Stegostoma tigrinum: one gene and its partner. Each later gene encodes a partner of the first gene's protein in a complex. Links are inferred from orthologs where the notes say so. Each region holds a gene or a part of one and is shown on either strand. Other genes may lie near its edges.

Evidence for each region.
Region 2: exosome complex component RRP40-like (region 1) and exosc6 share a complex: the UniProt entries of both Homo sapiens proteins name them as parts of the RNA exosome core complex. The link is inferred for Stegostoma tigrinum from reciprocal best matches to the Homo sapiens genes EXOSC3 and EXOSC6.

The regions. Positions count from the first base shown.
Region 1 is NC_081354.1:15,913,351-15,923,921, forward strand, and holds the start of exosome complex component RRP40-like, read right to left. Parts: upstream 6,565-10,571; 5' UTR 6,503-6,564; coding exon 6,287-6,502; intron 4,529-6,286; coding exon 4,379-4,528; intron 1-4,378. UniProt on the Homo sapiens protein: Non-catalytic component of the RNA exosome complex which has 3'->5' exoribonuclease activity and participates in a multitude of cellular RNA processing and degradation events.
Region 2 is NC_081369.1:4,852,251-4,862,700, forward strand, and holds exosc6 (exosome complex component MTR3), read right to left. Parts: upstream 5,328-10,450; 5' UTR 5,257-5,327; coding exon 4,958-5,256; intron 3,382-4,957; coding exon 2,850-3,381; 3' UTR 1,683-2,849; downstream 1-1,682. Other genes in the region: aars1 (alanine--tRNA ligase, cytoplasmic), read right to left, coding at 8,482-8,667. UniProt on the Homo sapiens protein: Non-catalytic component of the RNA exosome complex which has 3'->5' exoribonuclease activity and participates in a multitude of cellular RNA processing and degradation events.

The DNA.
Region 1 (10,571 bases):
AGAACTTTCAATCTTTGAGGTTGAACAGGCTCACATTCTCCCAAATCAACACTGATCAGAAGGCCCTAGTCAACAAAGGAAGGCTAGAAGAGATCTACTGCAGAAGTGAGGAAAAAAGAAAGTACAGCAGCTGTTCTACATTAGCTTTGTTTAGAAAAGACAATTTGACTAAACATAAACTTTGTAACAACGTTTAAGTTTGTGACCTTTTGAATTCAATTACTTAAGACTACATAGGGACTCAATGTATAAGGATGTCTGACCACCTCACTATGTGCTGTTCATTATGCACCTCTACTTTTAAGTTTGTTGGTATTAGAACTTTGGAACATTTTGTTTAATTCGAGGTATAGATTCAAGATTACATGCAATTTTTCTACTACATCCATCTTAAAAATTAAGACACTCATTCTTGGTGACCATGACCACAGAAAACCATCACCTAGCAGTTGACCTCTAAAACAAGCATTCACTAATAAAGGAGTTTGATGAAGAACTCTCCCACTTAAGCAAAAACTGAGACAATGAGCTCACAGAATCAATCACTAGGATACAGTAGCTTACAGTTCCCTATCCTAAATACATGGGCAAAGATGGCATAAGATGTTTAATGGTAAGCTGCAAAATTTGACAAGATGGCAGGTAAAACTATACAAGCTAGGATTACCCTGCTTATAAATCACAAGCTAAAAGACCAATCAGATCAGCCTCTGCAGCACAACTGGTCAGCGTATTTCACTATCAATAGGTTGGTGGTTTGAACCATCCAAGGGCAATATCTCCACTCAATCCGCATTCAGAAGCATGTCAATGTGGTTGTCCATGGACACAAAAAATGTTTAGGGTTTTTGAATGAATTGATAATGCTCCTATTTCTGAGCCGAGGGGCCTGGGCTCAGGTCCCCTTACTTCAAACGTGTAATAACATTTTTGAACAAGTTGATTGGTATTTTAGATATTTTCTAATCAGTAAATAGTGGAAGTGATAATTATTCCTTTGAAGAAAGGAAACAAATTGAGCATTCACTACTTATCAAATGGACTGTCAACTATGGATGCATCACTAAACCTGTTAAGAATTTGATCACTATGCCTTCAGAGTTGCGGCATCTCTGAACATGCAATGCTGTGGTTTAGAACAAGTTAATAAGGCCTACTTTAATAGTTGGTGTGGAGAGAGGAATAATCGCATGCCCTCTAACCAAGGATCAGTATTCCATTGTCCAATGCCTGGTTAAGGGTCACTTCTGTTGTACTTGTTTTAATAACATTAGTGTACTGTATCTAAACACACTTGTACCTGGAATGAACCCATCCTGCAACTACTTGCACCCCAAGTCTCATGATTAAAATTAAATTTCATGATCCAACAAATGGACATTCATCAAGGATGACCAATTGTAAACCAGATGTATTTGAGTAAGACTCATGTATTGTGGGAATGTTGTTACACAGCTCGTGATATTTCCTACAAAAGATGATCTTTAGAGGGAGAAAGATGAAATTATCCAGAGTATCCCCTAAGTGTGCAAGTAATGGCATGAAAAGTTAACCGAAAGAAATTGCTGGAGACATGAGAAGATAAAACAGGACTAAATAGAGGGAAATTAAAAGTATCTTAAGGAAATAGTATTGTTTACCCAGGTGGTGGTCCTGGCTAAGAGCTGGAAAGCAGATAAAGCGCTTGGACTCAAGCACGCAGCATCATTGTGCTCCAGCGATGACAATATGATACAAATGTAGTGTGAACAACTACAGCAACAAATGCAGTTAGATATTTGACATAAGTGAGCAGCCTTTGCAGCATCTGCACAAAGGTAGGCCCTTGCGTGCTTTGCAGGATGACAGCACAAACTGGAGGTAGCCGAGGAACACAGTAATGTGCTGACACAAGAGAACAAGTAAAATAGAAGTTAGGAAACATGCATGATGCACCGCAAAGTAGCATGGCCTCCATTAGGAAGAAACCTGCACAATGTCGGGCAAGCAGCACGCTATAGTGAGTTTTGAGAAGATTTGTAGCTCGGGTTGAGGTTCTGGATGTGAGTTTGCTCGCTGAGCTGGAAGGTTAGTTTTCAGATGTTTCGTCACCATTCTAGATAACATCATCAGTGAGCATCCGATGAAGCGCTGGTGTTATGTCCCGCTTTCTATTTATCTGTTTAGCTTTCCTTGGGTTGGTGATGTCATTTCCTGTTCTTTTTCTCAGGGGATGTTAGATTGGCTCCAAATCAATGTGTTTGTTGATGGAGTTCCGGTTGGAATGCCATGCTTCTAGGAATTCTTGCACGAGAATTCCTAGAAGCATGGCATTCCAACCGGAACTCCATCAACAAACACACTGGCTCCAAATCAATCGACCATCCCCTGAGAAAAAGAACAGGAAATGACATCACCAACCCAAGGAAAGCTAAACAGATAAATAGAAAGCGGGACATAACACCAGCGCTTCGTCGGAGGCTCACTGAAAGTTAAATAGAGGTTCAGGTCGGTGACCCTTCCTCAGAAACCTGCTGAGCTTTTCCAGCAACTTTGTTTTTGTTCCTGATTTACAGCATCCACAGTTCTTTTAGTTCTTACATTCTATTTAAGGCAAATATATTCACATTGCCCAAGGGAGCTCTATTTAACTGATGTTACCTAGAATGGTGACGAAACGTCTGAAAACGAACCTTCCAGCTCAGCGAGCAAACTCACATCCAGCATGCTATAGTTGCTGCCGTCATAATTAGTGATTACAGCATTGCAACCCAACTTTGGTTGGACCAGAATAGCATTTGCAGTAGCCCCGCTCTAATCACACCACAATCTAGAATGACCAGAGAGGGTCAAAGGGATATCAGCATCAGATGTGATCCTTTGACTAAGTTGAAGCCCTTTTAAAACCCGCTGACTGCCCATTTCAATATTCAGAGGTGAGATTTTCCTGAAGAAATCTTACCCACATTTAATCAATCAGATATTAGGGCTGTTTTGTCAGCCTGAGCTTTTACAGTTAAGAGCAATTTACCTTTTCCTCCCTTTGCACTATACCTTCATCTTAAACTGGGAGAGTTAATAAACTGAGTTTGGGATGTGCTTTAAATTGATCAATAGAATTTATGTACAAATAGGCGGAGGCAAACCCCAGCTCATGCTGAGCATCTCTGCACTATTTATAAATTGGTTCAGGTATCACCAGAGAAATGTGGGAATGGAAGAAGCAATCTCTCAAATGTTGTTATAATAGGGCAGGTCACACATTAAGGGTGTATAGGCCACCAAGGAGGTAAGGAATTTGGAGCAGGGCGGGGAGTGGGAGAGATAGAATCCAATTTTATCTAATCAATACAGAATGGGGGGGGGGGGTGCACGCTCCAGAATTTTAAAATGCATAACCTGATTCTATTCATCGAGGTCTGAAGGAAGTTTTGGTGGAAACATTGTCCTTCATGGTGTAGGCAACGGTCACTGCACAAGTTCAGCAGCAAAACCAGAGATCATAACCTGTTTGTCCAGTTAACTCAATGTTGCATAGGGTCCCTCAGCACAAGAACACTGACTGACTAGCACAGGCCTCAGGAGGTGCTCTGAAGATCCCACAGCAAGGACGAGAGTGGTAGCCATTGCTTCACTGCCAGGAGGCCAAAAGCAATTAATGTCAATAGATACTGACTCTTCAGTGACCGAAGGTTTTGTGGTCAATAAACATGATTGTGCATGTCAGATATCAATGTCCGAATTAATGGCGAAAGACAGCTTAAAAGCAGCATCTTCTCAGATTCGAAACTTCTCTTGCTTATGGACATTAATAATTTCAACTTCAAGAAAGCTATTACAGCTTGAGAAATTCCACAAACCTGAAATTCTCAGGAGGCAAGGATATAACGGGTTTATCCAACTGAGGACTAACTTTTGAAACAACAAGGTCTGCATATATTAATAGGTATAAAATTGAATTGTTAGCACAAAATGTACCATTATTAGTTGGTCATATTTCTATATAGACATTACACGATGAATCTTGATTGCACCAACTCCTGTAACAGGGAAATGATTAGTGTAGACAAGTCAAATCTATGGCTCTGCATTCAGATGCCCAGATTTTGGCCTTTTTGCTATTGTATATCTGTATTTGGTAAAATTTATGTATACCCAAAATTGGTTAAAAATTCTAAAACATAAACTTTCCTAAAATTAGTGATAGTCATGATCCTGGTCACCTTGTTGCAGTTGGTAGGTCATCAGCCTTAGAAGGATTAAAACGATTAGAAATTTGATCATGCATCAAGCCAAACCATCAACACCTCTGATAGAGCTATCACAATTACACAGAATACTAAACTAATCTGCATCTTAAGCATTAGTTTAAGACTAAAACTTTACAAAAAATTCTTACTTGGACATTTGGTCGATTTCGCTTGGTAGCTCCTTCAAATGCTAAATATGATAACGAGGCTTGCTCACTTCCTCCAACATCAACTTTGAATATATCACCAGACTTCACAGTCACAATTCCTATCACGTATTCTCCTTTAGCTGGCACATACTGAAAAAATGCAAAAGGACACTTTTAAATTCTTCTCCGATGTAATTTACTCGGCATTAAATTCTGAGTTATAGTTACAAATTCTGGAAAAAAATGCAGCTGAATTTCTTAAACGCACTCCAAGCAGCAAATAAATAGGCAACAATGGAAATCTCTGCTTAAAATCACCAATTTGTTCAGTGTTCTCAGGGTATCAGGCACATTCTATTTAAAGAACAAAAACAAAGTTGCTGGGAAAGCACAGCAGGTCTGGCAGCATCTGTGGAGGAGAAAACAGAGTTAACGTTTCAGGTCGGTGACCCTTCCTCAGAAACCTGCTGAGCTTTTCCAGCAACTTTGTTTTTGTTCCTGATTTACAGCATCCACAGTTCTTTTGGTTCTTACATTCTATTTAAGGCAAATATATTCACATTGCCCAAGGGAGCTTTTGAACCACATCAGGCATCATAAAATCAAAAATTTACCAAGAATTTGAGTGAAAACAACAATTATTCAAATATAATGATGATCAGAGACAATGGAAACTGCAGGTGCTGGAGAATTCAAGATAACAAAGTGTGGTGCGGGATATTCGCAGCAGGCCAAGCAGCATCTTAGGAGCACAAAAGCTGATGTTTCAGGCCTAGATGAAAAGTCAGCTTTTGTGCTCCTAAGATGCTGCTTGGCCTGCTGTGTTCATCCAGCTCCATACTTTGTTATCTCAATTATTCAAATAGTTCTTCTGTGCAAATAAGTTGGCAAAGCTTCAGTTCTGCAGGAGGATTACTGGACCTGATACATTAAACATTGCTAAAGGAGACTAAAAGTTTCTCTTCACAGATGCTGCCAGACCTTGTTTTTCAAGCAATTTCTGTTTCTGTAAACTTCAGTAGCACTTCCCACATACTTCAACATATAAATCTGGGAAGTGACCAAACATCATCTCCTAACTTGCACAAATTTCTCAGTAATTTGATGTGGAGATTTGTATATCAGAATGAATTTTCATGTCTTAAACAATTTACTAACCAGAAAACAAACAGATGGGTTCAGGGTGGAATATAAAATAGCTGAATTTAATTTGGACTTCAATCAGTATGCACCTAATTGCACTTCCAGCACTGCTCAAAGGATAAGAAGTTGATTTTCTCTTCCTACACCATGGAATGGGTGATACATCTTAAGCACATTAGTTTGTAAAAGTGCCATGATTCATTAAAGAGCAACTCAAGTCTCACTGATGTATTTACTACACTGCTCCCTCCTCAATCCCTAGACCCAGTTCATCTCCCTCCACACCATAAAAACTAAGAGAAATGCGGATACTGTCGCTGTTGAAATGTTAACTCCGATTTCTCTGCACAGATGCTGCCAGACCCGCTGAGCTTTCACAGCACTTTTTGTTTTTGCTCCCTCCCCACCACGTCCTCCAGCACCACACCACCAGTTCCCACACCCCACAAACTCCAGTACCCAGTCCCTCCACACCTGTGACCACTGTACCCCCCTCCCCTCCAGCCCCCAACGTCCATACTCCTCAGGACTTCCACAACACCCCTCCCCCACCCGGGAAAAACGTAATCCCCTTTCCCCTACTGTCCCCAGCCCACAGCATCATACCGCCTGGACCTCCACTGCACCGGACTCATACTCCTCCAGGATCCCACAATCCACAGGGACCTCCAGCATCCCCTACACCGGGGCCCATTACACCCATCCTAGGCCTGACACCTCATTAGTGAGCGTTGTGGGGGAAGAGATCTGACCCGCCTCCCTCACCCGTTTCTGCTGCGACTCCACCCAGTAGACGGAGGGCTCCTTGTGCCGGAGCACGCCGGACTTGCAGGCCACCAGAGCATGTCCGGACAACTGCCCACAGCCCTGTCGCCTCAGGCCGGGCCCGCACAAGACCCTATCCCCGGAGTTGGGAGGGAAGGTAAGCACATCCCCAGGCAGCACCACCTGCGAGACGGCCCCAGCTGCGGGCCGTTCCATCCCTCCTCGGGGAAGACGTGACTGGGCCTGCCTTGCGTCGCGGCGCTACGTCGAACGTCAGTACGCAGACCCCGCCTTCTCACAACGTCGACGCACTGAAGTCATTCTATGACGTCAGCGCACCCCCGCACGATGTCACCATTGCGCCCGCCTCCTCGTGACGCCATCGTAGAGCCCCCTCCCAGGACAATAAACAACAATGTGCATTTGTATAGCCTCAGATCGAGGGTAGCGTCCTGAAGTCAATCCAGACTCGAGCCCGGCGATCAGGTAAATTTCAACACGGGAATAAAACAAAGATCTGCAGATGCTGGAATTCTCAAACGAAGACAGAAACTTCTGGAGAAACTCAGCAGGTCTGGCAGCAACTGTGGCGAGAGAAACAGATTGAAAGTTTTGAGCCCGAAGGGTCACTGAATTGAAACTTTTCACCTTGCGCTCATCCAAACAAGGATGCAAGAGACAGAGACAGCATCAGAATGGAAGAAATAGAAGCAGGAGTGGGCCATTCAGCCCTTTAAGGATTCATGACCAATCTGTCCCAGGCCTTGACTCTACTTGCGTTCTGGCTCCTCATAGTCGTCAACTCTCCAATATTGCAAAAATATACATTCTCATAAAATCATTGCATGGGCCTGATGGTATAAAATTCTCGGTCTCCATTTTACTGTGTCTTCTTGCAGCATTATGCTCAGAGAGAATTGTACTGCAGTTTACATCTGAATTGTGTTGCTTTATTCCCAGACACACAAGCGTTTGTGGTTGTAACGTGCAGATGCCAGATGCTGTAATAAATATCTATTGAATCCTTTGGTTCTCCACATCTTGTTCTTACGTTCATAAGTATCACTTCATCGAGTATGAATACCTTACTGAAGGTAAAAGGCCTGCAACTTAAGGAGATTGTGAAAGCAGAACACATCTGGGTTAATGTTGTTTATAAAGAAACTTCCGTCCTCCCAGATCACATGATTGGAACTTGACCAGAGCTGTCTTTTTCTGCAAAAATTATTCACAAAACGTTTACAAAGTAAATTTTTGTAACATTAAAATTATGGAAAGTGCAATAAAACTTTAACTTGCTTTATGCAACATGCTTGACTTATACTTACCTTGATCTATTCTTAACATTGCTAGAAGGAGATCAGAAACTTTTCATCTTGTACTTATCAGAAACAGGATTCAAATAACAGTTATGGCAAAAGAGACATCATATCCTTTTTTTCAAGTCTATTTCTTTCACCCTAGTTCCCATGAGTGCAAGAGAGTGTCAACTTTTAGTCTCCTTTAGCAATGTTTAAATTCTGTACTGCCAACTATTTACAACTATTAAGCGCTTAGCATTTACAATGTACCTTCCAAGACAAGCACGCAACCCAAGGGCAAATAATTTTAAATTTAAAATTCCAGAAAGTGTATTTGAATTAAATTTTGCACAGTGTTTTCCACTCTGAGGCATTTCTTACAATCTGAATTCTCTTGATATTAATAATGTACATTTTGGTATCAGGTGCACAGTGCAAGAAGTTCTACATAGTTTCCAGCCCCAAGATGTGCTTTGGATGAAAGGCCTTAAGGAGCTTGTCTGGTACTAGGAGCTTATGACTTTCAGGGAAAGACCGACCATCACCATTGTAACTCCGTCAACCTGAACCATCTCAGCAGCTCAAATTAATCCCAGAAACCTGTGGTCTGCAAAATCAAATAGCAACAAAGCAGTACAGTAACAGAGATAGTAGGAACTGCAGAATCTGGAGAATCTGAGAGAACAAGGTGTAGAGCTGGATGAACACAGCAGGACAAGCAGCAACAGAGGAGCAGGAAGGTTGACGTTTTGGGCCTAGACCCCGAACCGTCAGCCTTCCTGCCCCTCTGGTGCTGCTTTGCTTGCTGTATTCATCCAGCTCTACACCTTGTTAGCACAGTAACAATTAGGTTTATACATTATGGATCAACTTATAAAACAGTAGTACATTTTATGAAAATTAAAATCTCTAATGCATTTGGTAAATAATCAATGATCTCATGTATGTTTCAACCAAGCTCTCTGTTTTTCCAAGGCATAGAATACGCAGTGAATCCTGCAGATGCATTGCATCAGCCTCTCTCCAATGTAATGTACACACACTCACAACTAAGCCCCATCTCATTGACTCACTCAACAGTCTCTCTGCTCAAAACTGCACTCTCCTACTCTTTCACTCAATAGCCCCTATTCCTTCCTCATTTGTGGTTTAGCTGCTGGAGCGTGAGAGGCAGAGTCACTATCCTTTACAGGAGGTAGACAGGAGCATGAGCACAGTCAGGTTTGAAACTGCCATGCACCATTTCAGCTTAGCCACATGTCTTGCTGGTTGTTACCAACCCCCCACCCCCAACCTCCAGTAGTGGCTCAGTTATAATTGCCAACCTATAGCTATGCCAGGTTCGCGCACAAACATCCTGAACAGGTTTGAGCTTGCCAATAAAAGTACATTGGGCTTGCTGGCTCCCCCAGTGTTGTTATGTGGAATTAATCCACTGACACAGAGCTGTCCTGGTAGAGGTTCAGACTGACCCATTGCAACTCACAACCTCGAATTTGACCTCTCAGACATACTGGGATGTTTGGGGGTGGGGGGTGGTGCGGGGGGAGGTGATCGGGGTTGGTGGGAGGACTGAAAATCTGTTTTTAGGAATTTCCTAAAGGAAATAAGCAAAGTGAAATAATGTAGATGGGCGGATCAGTGGCAAATGCAATTTAATCTTGGAAAGTATGAAGTGATGGTTTTTGGGAAGATGAACAAGACAAGGGAGTACAAGGTTCAACAGTCAGACCCTTGGGGATACTGAGGATAACAGGGAGGTTGGAGGCATTATTTATGGGATGAGGGCATCGCTGGCTAAGCCAGTATTTATTACTGTTGGCCTGGAGTCACATGTAGGCCAGACAAGGTAAGGATGGCATCAGTGATAATCAGATGCTGGAGAATCCAAGATAATAAAATGTGAGGCTGGATGAACACAGCAGGCCCAGCAGCATCTCAGGAGCACAAAAGCTGACGTTTCGGGCCTAGGCCCTTCATCAGAGAGGGGGATGGGGTGAGGGTTCTGGAATAAATAGGGAGAGAGGGGGAGGCGGACCGAAGATGGAGAGAAAAGCAGATAGGTGGAGAGGAAAGCATAGGTGGGGAGGCAGGGAGGGGATAGGTCAGTCCAGGGAAGACGGACAGGTCAAGGAGGTGGGATGAGGTTAGTAGGTAGGAGATGGAGGTGCGCTTGAGGTGGGAGGAAGGGATGGGTGAGAGGAAGAACAGGTTAGGGAGGCAGAGACAGGCTGGGCTGGTTTTGGGATGCAGTTGGGGGAGGGGATGAGCTGGGCTGGTTGTGTGATGCAGAGGGGGAGAGGACGAACTGGGCTGGTTTTGGGATGCGATGGGGGAAGGGGAGATTCTGAAGCTGTTGAAGTCCACATTGATACCATTGGGCTGCAGGGTTCCCAAGCGGAATATGAGTTGCTGTTCCTGCAACCTTCGGGTGGCATCATTGTGGCACTGCAGGAGGCCCATGATGGACATGTCATCTCAAGAATGGGAGGGGGAGTGGAAATGGTTCGTGACTGGGAGGTGCAGTTGTTTATTGCGAAACGAGCAGAGGTGTTCCACCCAAGACCACCGACACTTCCGCCATCTACAATCCGACCCCCCCACCCAAGACATTTTTCCATCCCAACCCTTGTCTGCTTTCCGGAGAGACCACTTTCTCTGTGACTCCCTTGTTCGCTCCACACTGCCCTCCAACCCCACCACACCGGGCAACATCCCCTGCAACCGCAGGAAATGCTACACTTGCCCCCACACCTCCTCCCTCACCCCTATCCCAGTCCCGAAGATGACTTACCATATTAAGCAGATGTTCACCTGCACATCTGCCAATGTGGTATACTGTATCCATTGTACCTGGTGTGGCTTCCTCTACAATGGGGAAACCAAGCGGAGGCTTGAGGACCGCTTTGCAGAACACCTCCGCTCGGTTCGCAATAAACAACTGCACCTCCCAGTCGCGAACCATTTCCACTCCCCCTCCCATT
Region 2 (10,450 bases), on another chromosome or scaffold:
CAGGGACACGCACGAGAATTCCTAGAAGCATGGCATTCCAACCAGAACTCCATCAACAAACACATTGATTTGGAGCCCATCTACCATCCCCTGAGAAAAAGAACAGGAAATGACATCACCAATGCAGGAAATGACATCACCAACCCAAGGAAACCTAAACAGATAAATAGAAAGCGGGACATAACACCAGCGCTTCGTCGGAGGCTCACTGATGATGTTACCTAGAATGGTGACGAAACGTCTGAAAACTAACCTTCCAGCTCAGCAAGCAAACTCACATCCAGAATCTCAACCTGAGCTACAAATCTTCTCAAAACTCGCTATCCTTGAAAGTTGCCACCCAGGTTGACAGGGCTGTTAAGAAGGCATACAGATTTAGCTTTTATTAATAGAGGGATCGAGTTCTGGAACCAAGAGGTTCTGCTGCAACTGTACAAAACTCTGGTGCGGCTGCACTTGGAGTATTGCGTACAGTTCTGGTCACCGCATTATAAGAAGGATGTGGAAGCTTTGGAAAGGGTGCAGAGGAGATTTACTAGGATGTTGCCTGGTATGGAGGGAAGATCTTACGAGGAAAGGCCGAGGGACTTGAGGCTGTTTTCATTGGAGAGAAGAAGGTTGAGAGGCCCAGAGCATCAGCTTTCCGGCTCCTCTGAAGCTGCTTGGCCTGTTGTGTTCATCCAGCTCGATACTTTGTTATCTAGGTAAGGATAACCGTTTCCTTCCCTAAAAGACATTAGTGAACCTGATGGGTTTTTCCAACAATTGATAATTGATTCATGGTCATCATTAGACTCTTAATTCCAGATATTTATTGAATTTGCTGTGGCGGGATTCAAACCCAGGTTCCAAGAACATTATCTGGGTCTCTGGATTAACAGTCCAGTGATAATACCACTAGGCCATCACCATCATGTGGCTGATGAATCAGTGTTCCTCCATGTCGAATGCCACTTTGAGGGGTAAGGGGACAGAATATACTCTGGGTGGAGCAATTCAAAGCCCATCACAAACTGGCAAAATGGTTTGACTGGCTGTGCAGCAGATGATGAGGGAACAACAAGAGGGAATACACTTGTTTAAATAAATTATTTATCAGGCCGATTATCCAGACCTCTGTCATTGGTAAGATTTTACAATCCGTTATTAAGGATGAGATTGCAGGGTACTTGAAACAGCAGATAAAATACGGCAGCGTCAGCATGCCTTGGTCAAGGGGAGATCACAAATCTGTCAGAATTCTTTGATGCAACGATGATCAAGCTCAACAAAGGACGTATTCATCACAGCAGTGTATCTTTGGATGTGATCGATTTGAGTTTCCTGAAGGCCTTTGACAACGTATTGTGCAAGAGGCTGCAATTTAAGATAAGAGCCCAGGGTGTTAGGGGCAAGGTACTGGCGTGGATAGAGGATCGGCTGACTAGCAGAAGGCAGAGAGCGGGTATAAAGGAATCTTTTTCGGCTGTTTGGAATGTAAGTATGTACAACTAGCTGATGTTACAAGGGATCCTAATGGCAACAATAAAAAAACACATCATTTTATTATTTACCCCAGGAGCGTTGAGCAAACTTTGATTCCCCAGGATTCTGCCTGATGCTGCACAATGTCAATCAGCACTTAAAGTCAGTGAGACATTTCTTCCAAATTACAACTCAGCATGTGTAGAAAAATGACAGAATGGTCAAGAACTTTGATTTTATTTGTTAAAAAAATATAGTAAACAGACAAATTAGTGAATGAATAGACTGGATGGAAATTTCCCACCCTGAACTCTCATAACCAAGAGTGTCCAGGTCTAGCACATTACAAAGTTGGGAGAGGAACAAAGAGTTGAGCCCGTTAATCTGCCTTGTACTGTGCTTCCGCAGTTGGGTGACGTATTCATCACAGCAGTGTATCACCCAGCAGAACTCAAATATTGGGCAGTTTTCTCTTGAAGGCTGATAGCCACTGACCACCAATTTGAGACTATCCCCAAGCTCATTTAACACAATGGCCTTACAGCCGCTTTATCAGGCTGGGATCTAATTCGAAGCAAAAGCCTCAGACGACACTTAATGTAAATTCTCTGTACCGAGTGCCTTGTCGCTACCCACAATAGAAGAAAGAGGTCTACATGGGACCAATTGGAGAACATGGAGTATGAAGGAGATCATACCAAACTCAAAATTAAACTCTGCTTCTCTCTCTCCACAGATGCTGCTAGACCAGTTGAGATCCTCCAATGTTGTGTTTGTATCAGTTGGAGAAGATATGTATAAACCAAATAAACTGCTTGTTTTAATAACTCACAAGGTCTGGAAAGGATAAATACTTGATTGATCCCAGACAGACTGCACTGTGTAATCCTTAGGCCCTCAGAGTTGAAATCTGCTCAGTGAGGAAGTACTGAAATAAATACTGTGGCAGGGCAAAAAATAAGCAGCGAGGGCAAAGTCCCATACCACTTTAGCTTGAATTGCATTTATTCTCTCTACTTCACCCAGAGATCAAGTTTTACTGCAGCACAACTCCACCCAGACTGCTCAAGACCAGACAGCAGGGAATTGAGGCCCAGCGTCCCACACATCCAACAGGAGAGACTGGACAATCAGCTCCAGGAACCCTGGCCCAATTATACCTTCCTGCACTGAAGCTGAACTTCAGCAGCACCACAGATCAGGCAACTCAGCATAGACAGAGCTGAACCTCACACTTCAATCCAATACCGTGTGGTGGTTCAATTTTAGTTAAATGTTAACAAAGGATATTCTGCAACTTGTATAAAATGTAGTAAATGGAACAGTAAAAAAACATTTATTTTTCAAGAAAGCATTTACTGGAATGTCCAAGAACAAAAGTTCATCTAATCTTTACTGACAAGCTGTGGGATTTTCCTCTTGACTGATTTGGTCAGACACTGTTGGACTACAGAGTAGAGCTTCTGACATCCCTCAATACAAGCCTTGATTGCTTCTACTGATGTCTGCTCCTCCCACTCTCCTTTCGAGACCAGCCCGGAGATTTGATTGAGTGTGGGCAGCAGAGCCACAGTCAAGCTGCCATTGTTTACGGCCTGCGAGCAGGCTGCACTGTACTCCTCAGCTGCTGTTGGATCCAGAAGGGAGACAGCTCCACACTGCCTCAAAGAGCAGCCCACCACCACGTCAAACATCTCGATGCCTGCTTCTGCCAGTGCTATGGAAGCACAAGTCAGCGCAGCTGCTAAGGTGGAGCCATCATTCTCCAGAACCATCACGTACACTTCGATCTGGGACCTGGGGTACTTGTGGAGGCAGATAGCTGGCTGCAAGCTCTGTTCCATGATCAAAGAATACTCCTTCTCCAAGGTGCCCTGAATCCAGGCAGCTCTCTTCCTGCAAGAGAATGGGGCAAATCTACAAGGGTGGGGGGGGGGGGCGTGGTAGGGAAGAAAAACAATCCTATGAATTCATTCACGTGATATTTCAAAAGAGGAATAGGTTAGCACAGTTGGTTAAATGTCGGTGAGGTGGTTCAGAGAAATGTCCAACAGCGCAGGTTCAATTTCTGTTCCATCTGAGGTAGGTTTGGGATTGACTTTGTCGTCCTAAACCTGAGAATGAAAGTCAGCAGCAAAGAGTGACAAAAACTGCCAAGTAAATGGCTCAGGTTGGAGTATCAGCTACAAACCAAGGATCACAGGGAATGGAATGTTAATAAATTAAAATTGAGGCTATCCAGACTACAAAAGTGTGGCCAATTCTTAACTGCCCTCTGAATGGTCAGGCAATCCACCGTTTTACGAGCAATTAGGGATGGGCAACTAATTCTTACCTTGCCAGTGACACCCACTGTCTAGGGATAATGGGAACTGCAGATGCTGGAGAATTCCAAGATAATAAAATGTGAGGCTGGATGAACACAGCAGGCCAAGCAGCATCTCAGGAGCACAAAAGCTGACGTTTCGGGCCTAGACCCTTCATCAGAGAGGGGGATGGAGAGAGGGAACTGGAATAAATAGGGAGAGAGGGGGAGGCGGACCGAAGATGGAGAGTAAAGAAGATAGGTGGAGAGAGTGTAGGTGGGGAGGTAGGGAGGGGATAGGTCAGTCCAGGGAAGACGGACAGGTCAAGGAGGTGGGATGAGGTTAGTAGGTAGCTGCGGGTGCGGCTTGGGGTGGGAGGAAGGGATGGGTGAGAGGAAGAACCGGTTTGGGAGGCAGAGACAGGTTGGACTGGTTTTGGGATGCAGTGGGTGGGGGGGAAGAGCTGGGCTGGTTGTGTGGTGCAGTGGGGGGAGGGGACGAACTGGGTTGGTTTAGGGATGCAGTAGGGGAAGGGGAGATTTTGAAGCTGGTGAAGTCCACATTGATACCATTGGGCTGCAGGGTTCCCAGGCGGAATATGAGTTGCTGTTCCTGCAACCTTCGGGTGGCATCAGTGTGGCAGTGCAGGAGGCCCATGATGGACATGTCATCTAAAGAATGGGAGGGGGAGTGGAAATGGTTTGCAACTGGGAGGTGCAGTTGTTTGTTGCGAGCTGAGCGGAGGTAGGCACCCACTGTCTACATTGCCATTCCACCTTTGTTCACTCCAGCCCAACGCCAGCAGCTCCACCAGGAATCGGAGCTGGGTTGAGGACCAGGTTCATTATTTGTGAGCTGCTGTGATCTGGAATGCGCTGTGCTTCTTCTGTTGACGATCAACACATTTCCCCACCATCCTTCCAGCTTCAAGTCACAGGATCAGCCTGTGTTTCCACAATTCACTTCACTAAATCCAGCAGCCAGGGATAGGACTGGGAACCCTCCCCTCTCCCCAGTCAGAGCTGACCTGACACACACTGATAACCTACACGCCCACCTTTCCAAAATCACAGGAGACTTTACTCCGAGCACCAGGGGTCTCTACATCATCTCCGCTTGCCCTTGGTTTCACGGGGGGTTGGTGTTGGTGCTTTAAGACCCTTCCCGCCCCCGGCCCCGGCCCCTACCTGAACTCGCAGCCCAGGGTCGCCCCGCTCAGGCGCCGCTCCTCCTTCCTGTCGCTCTCCCGGGGCCCGTAAACGGCGCACAGCACCTTGGTGAGGCCGCACTCGACGTACACCGAGCCGTCCGCCTGACTCACCAGGCCGGCCCGAGCAAACACCGGCCTCGGCTCAGCCGCCGACCGCCCATCAGCCCGAACCCGGGCCCGCCCCGGCACCGTGCTCGGAGCCGCATCTCCCGCCACAAACAGCAGCGGCGACTGCGACTCCTCCGGGCCCCGGACTCGCTTGGTGTCGACCGGCATCTGGTACCGACTCGCTCCAAGCTCCGGAGCCTCGACCAGGCCGCGCACAACGAGGCAGCGCCCGTCGTAAGATGCTCCCACCTACTGCCCTCCCCCAACACCGCCCCCTGCAGTCCGGGAGGACCATCCGCAGGCCCTCATGCTCCATACCACCCCCTACCGGCTTTCAGCAAAGTGTGCAAGTTCTCTTCCAGATTGCAATGATTTGGTTTGAGTCGTCTGTGCGTGCAGGTCGCATCGAAAAACATGGGTTCTGTAGCCAAATTTATCAATATTCCACCACCAGGGGGGAAAAAACCAATGCAGCAGTGTGTGACAAGCAGAGCCTTGCTAGGGGAGTAATTTGATTTATTATTGCCACATGTACCAAGCTGTAATCCTGAGATTTGAACGCAATTTAACACTGGCCCTTCAGAGCTATTTGTTCTTTAAGGTGGCAGTAGGAAACGCAGAAGCAAGAGTCGGGGCATGTTGCCCAAAGTCCCGGTCAATATGAATCGCTGAAAAAGATTAGCTGGTTATTAAACATGGGGACATAGGGAGAACACGCAAAGTGCATACAGGCAGTCACCCAAGGCTGGAATCGAACCGATGGCTCTGCTGCTGTGAGCCAGAAATGCTAACCACTGTGCGACCCTGTAGTTATCTGGTTACTAATCTCACTTGGGCTCGACGGCTGGTTTGTGATAGAGCGATACCAACAGTGTGGATTCAATCCTATGCTGGTTGAGGTTACAACAAAGGACCCCTTCTCAACCATTCTACACACCTCAGGCATGGTGACCCTCAAGCTTAAAACACCAACAATTGAGCAATCCTATGGCCTGGTAGGACTATGGCAACTTTACCTTTAACCTGTACTGTATACAATGGTGTCTCCTTTGGGATGCACCCTTTCTTCATTTACATGTAATTTTTTATTGGCATCATCCTCGAGTATGAGTGATGAGGAGGAAGAGGGTCCAAGATTCTCTCTTTTCCACCACCTTGGTGCTGTCAAATGGCCTGCCAATCTAAGGTCATGTACAACTCAGGAATTTTTCCCAACGTTGGAAGAGTGATGTCCTCTTTTAGTTCTTGCTGAACGTTAAGTAACATTTGCCACGGATTCCATTTATCGCCTCCAGTTTGAGAATAATTTCAGCATTGTTCTTGATCTAGAGTTGAGCTTCAATCCCCTTCGATAACAAGGTCCTTGATTTCACATCCACAACATTGTCCGTTTCTGTTCCAACTTTCTCATCATAAATCCTCAACAATTTGTTCCTCGTACCCCAATATCTGGAAATCAAATTCCTGTTCTTATCCACAAATAATTCCCTGGATTTACTCAAACCAACATCGGCAATTGCTTCCCACCTTTGCCTCCCATTCAGAGAATTTCCTCCCGTTGTCTAATTAAAAGATGAAGCTACTGAGGGACAACTTGTTAATATAAATACATGCAGAAAAATTATTTCCTATCGCAAAATGTCTAGAACCAGCAGGGATAAGCTTACCATCTGTTCTTGGGGAGTCCTCCATCAATTTGTGAAGCACCAAAGGACACCACCAAGATTTTATGTATTTTTTTTCAAAAGCAGGTTTTTGGAATATTCCTGTCCACTTCAAAGAGTTGTCTGCTCAGGCTCACACTGGGAGCATTAAAATTTCATCTTCCCAGTGTCTTGTTTATTTCACCGGTCTGTGGCATCCTGAAGGTTTCAGTAACCCTCCTCTCCATTTACTATTATATCCAATATTGGGTGAAACATCAGAATCAAGGTTGACTGTCCTGTGGCCCCAACACCTCAAATTCTGAAGCCTTGCCCTCCAGCCCAATTTCACCATCCACAAGTTAGCCTGTCTCACCTCTCTGTTCTACTAAATGTAATACAGATTACCACTATTGAGGTCTTATTCTTTAATCTCCTAACTCCAGGATATCTTTGATAGGACCTCAACTTTTGTCTACATTATTGGTTCCAACATGACCCACAACATCAGAGTGTTGCCACTGCTGTGTTGCTGGTCATAGCAATGACAGAACATTGGAACAGTTAGAAACAGTAAAGAGTGAACTGGATATTAACTGAATGACTATCATGTGTTGGAATTCAAAACTTTGTCTAATGAACCACTGGAATCGTTTATATTAAAACGCTACTGTCACGTTTTGCTTGCTTGGGGTTAAATCCACTGGACGGAAATACTGGGAGATGTGTAAGACAAAATAGTTCATAAAATGGTACCACTTATGTATGACTTCAATGTTAGACAACAGAAATCATTTCTGCAGAAGTAAATCTGAAAATAACACAAAAAATGCTGCAAGTACTGAGCAAATCAAGTAGAAAGTCAAAGGAATGATGATCATCTGCTGTGTGTGATGTGAAACATTAATAGTTTCTCTCTCCACGTGTTTTGTAAACTGCTGCATATTTCCATTATTCTGATTTTATAGTGGTTAGACCCCTGTAGACCAGTCTGACCAGGTTTGAAGGAAGAACTCATCAATGAAGTGAAAATCAACTTCCAACAGGGACAGTGTGAATCTTTGGGGTTTTTTTATATTTGAAGGAGAGTTAGTGACTAAAGTTGAAAATGGGTGGGATTTACAATAAGTGTTCGTATTTATGTTCACACATAACGTTGAATAAATCAACTTCTAATTGGTGATCAGAGATAATGGGAATTGGTTGTGTTTCACCAGGATGTGAATCAATCGACAGCTAAGGAGATTACAGAAGTCCAAGAGTCAAAAACATGATTGCAATGTCTCGTTCACGTAATGAAGAGGTTTTATTGTTTACACTGTCTTGAACAATGGTTACATATGACTAGGTAATGACAGCATCATCATGAGGCAGCGAACAAGAGACAATTGATCTGAATCTGAAAATAAATAGCATACTCCAAATCTGTAACCAGTACAACACCAGTATTATTTTAAGCTTACGGGTGCAAATCCTTTTAATGAATTAGAGCCGTTTTAAATAGGCTAACAGATTTTCTTACAGCCAGTCCCTTATTGCAACAGTTTGAAGATTTTAGAGATGATCGATTGCTAAGCTGTTCTACTGACTTAGTGAGACAGAAGTTCACGCTTTTAACATTAACATGGAGGAGAATGTGACAACCCCCTCCCTCACCACCTCTCAGCAGTAGTGGTCCTAAACCCCTGCAGCAGAAGAGTCCCGGCCCCATGGACGGTCTTTCAAGTGACATTAACTGCAACGTTTGTGATTAGTTTTTGAGGTCTCCTATTTTCAGCTCAGCGAACTCGGTTGCCAGCTTTAGCGCCTTGTCAAGGCTGTTGACGTTTTTCCCAGTGGCCTGGGCTGACACGTCCTTTCCTCCTCCTCTTCCGTCCAGCAGGTCCAAGATATGGTTGACCCAGTCACTGGCTTTCAGGCCCCTGCTCACCACCTCCTGAAAAAGGTTTGTAATGAAAAAGGGAGAAATAGTGCAAAATGAAAATTCAGTAACCCTGCTGCTTTTAAGATGGGCTTTCCACAACGTACAATGTTCGGACTTTGAGGCGATGCCTCCCCCACTGGCCTGACTGTAAAAGTGGCACAGTGAGGGACTGAGACTTATACATCACAGGTTCAATACCTGATATGCTGCAGATGTCATAACAGCCAGTGAATGGCACAGCAAGACTGAAAGGCCTACACCAATTCCTAAGTCCTATATTACCAGGGTCTCAGGAAACACGTAGCTGGGATGCAACAACTGAAATCAGCTCCTTATGATCAACAAAGGTTAAACTCTGTCTTTGACGGCTGATCATTGGTCCCTGTTGGGTCACGTACAGAGAACGGGTGCAGGGCAGATGATGACCAGACTGGGCTTGAATGTTACAAACCTCATGGTGGATCAGTCTACTGAAACTCACTGAAGGATGAGGAGTAACTCCTGCGATGAAGTATCAAGGGGCACAGAATCATTACTGCCACAGCCTTCAAGTGGAGATTAACAATATTGTCAAACAATGAATCGTTGCTCTCAAACACCCAGACACTGAGCCAAGTTCATCTCATTCCTCCAGTCCTGGCCTCCCTATCGTTGGTCACTTCCATCACTGGCAGTCATGCCTTCATCTGCTGTAACATTGCAATGCTTGCCCTAAACCTCTCTGCGTTTCTCTTCTTAACACTGACGTCCTCAATTATTAAACGTTCAAAGGCTGAGGGAAGAATAAAAGAAGAATAAAAAAAGAGAAAAATAAACTACTAGGGAAAACAATGTGATGGAAGCCAATAAATCCTTTGGGTTGTACCTTAAGATGTGAGGGAAGTAATCAGAGATAGTAGATGCCTTGGTAGTAATCTAATAACAATCTTTATTCTGGAAAAGTCCCAGAGGATTGGAAAGTGACACCATTGTTTAAAAAGGGAGATGAGAAAAAAGTAACTTTAAGAAAGTTAGAATAGTGTCTCTAACCAGGAAAATGTTAGAATCTATCAAGTAGAGTCAGCAGGGCAACTGCTGGCAACTCTATTAGAATTCTGTGAAGAGGTTAACAAGTAGGGTAGTTAAAGGGGAACCAGTAAATGTAATATGTTTAGGTTTCCAAAAGGCACTCAATAATGAGCGTCACACAGAGCTGCTTGATCAGGGCTCATGGGGTTGTGGGTAGTGTAATAGCATTGATACATGACTGGCTAACTCACAGAAGACAAACAGCTGTAATTAAGGGGACAATTTTGAGATGTTAACTTGTAACTAGTGGACTGCCAAAGGTTTCACTGCTGGGGCCACAATTATTTACAATTATATTTTAATGACTTGGATGACAGAATAGAATGTACTATTACCCAAGTTTGCAGACGACAAAAATAGATGGGAAAGCAAATACTGAGGATAATACATGAGTTTACAGAAAATATAGACAGATTAAGTGAGTGGGCAAAAAATTTTTCAGATGGAATATAATGAGAAACGCAAGGTTATGCACACTGGAACAAACTGAATATTACTAAAACGGAGAAAGACTGCAGAAAGGTACATTGCAAAGGGATTTGAGGATTCTTGTGTTATAAGCCACAAAAGCTAGCATCCAAGTTTGGAACGAAATAGGGAAAGCAAATAGAGTGCTGACCCATAGGTCAAGAGGAATGAAGTATAAAAGGAAACTGTGAGCAGTTTTGGTCCCCTCATCCAAGGAAAGACAGACTGACATTGGAGGCAGTCCAAAGATGATTCACTA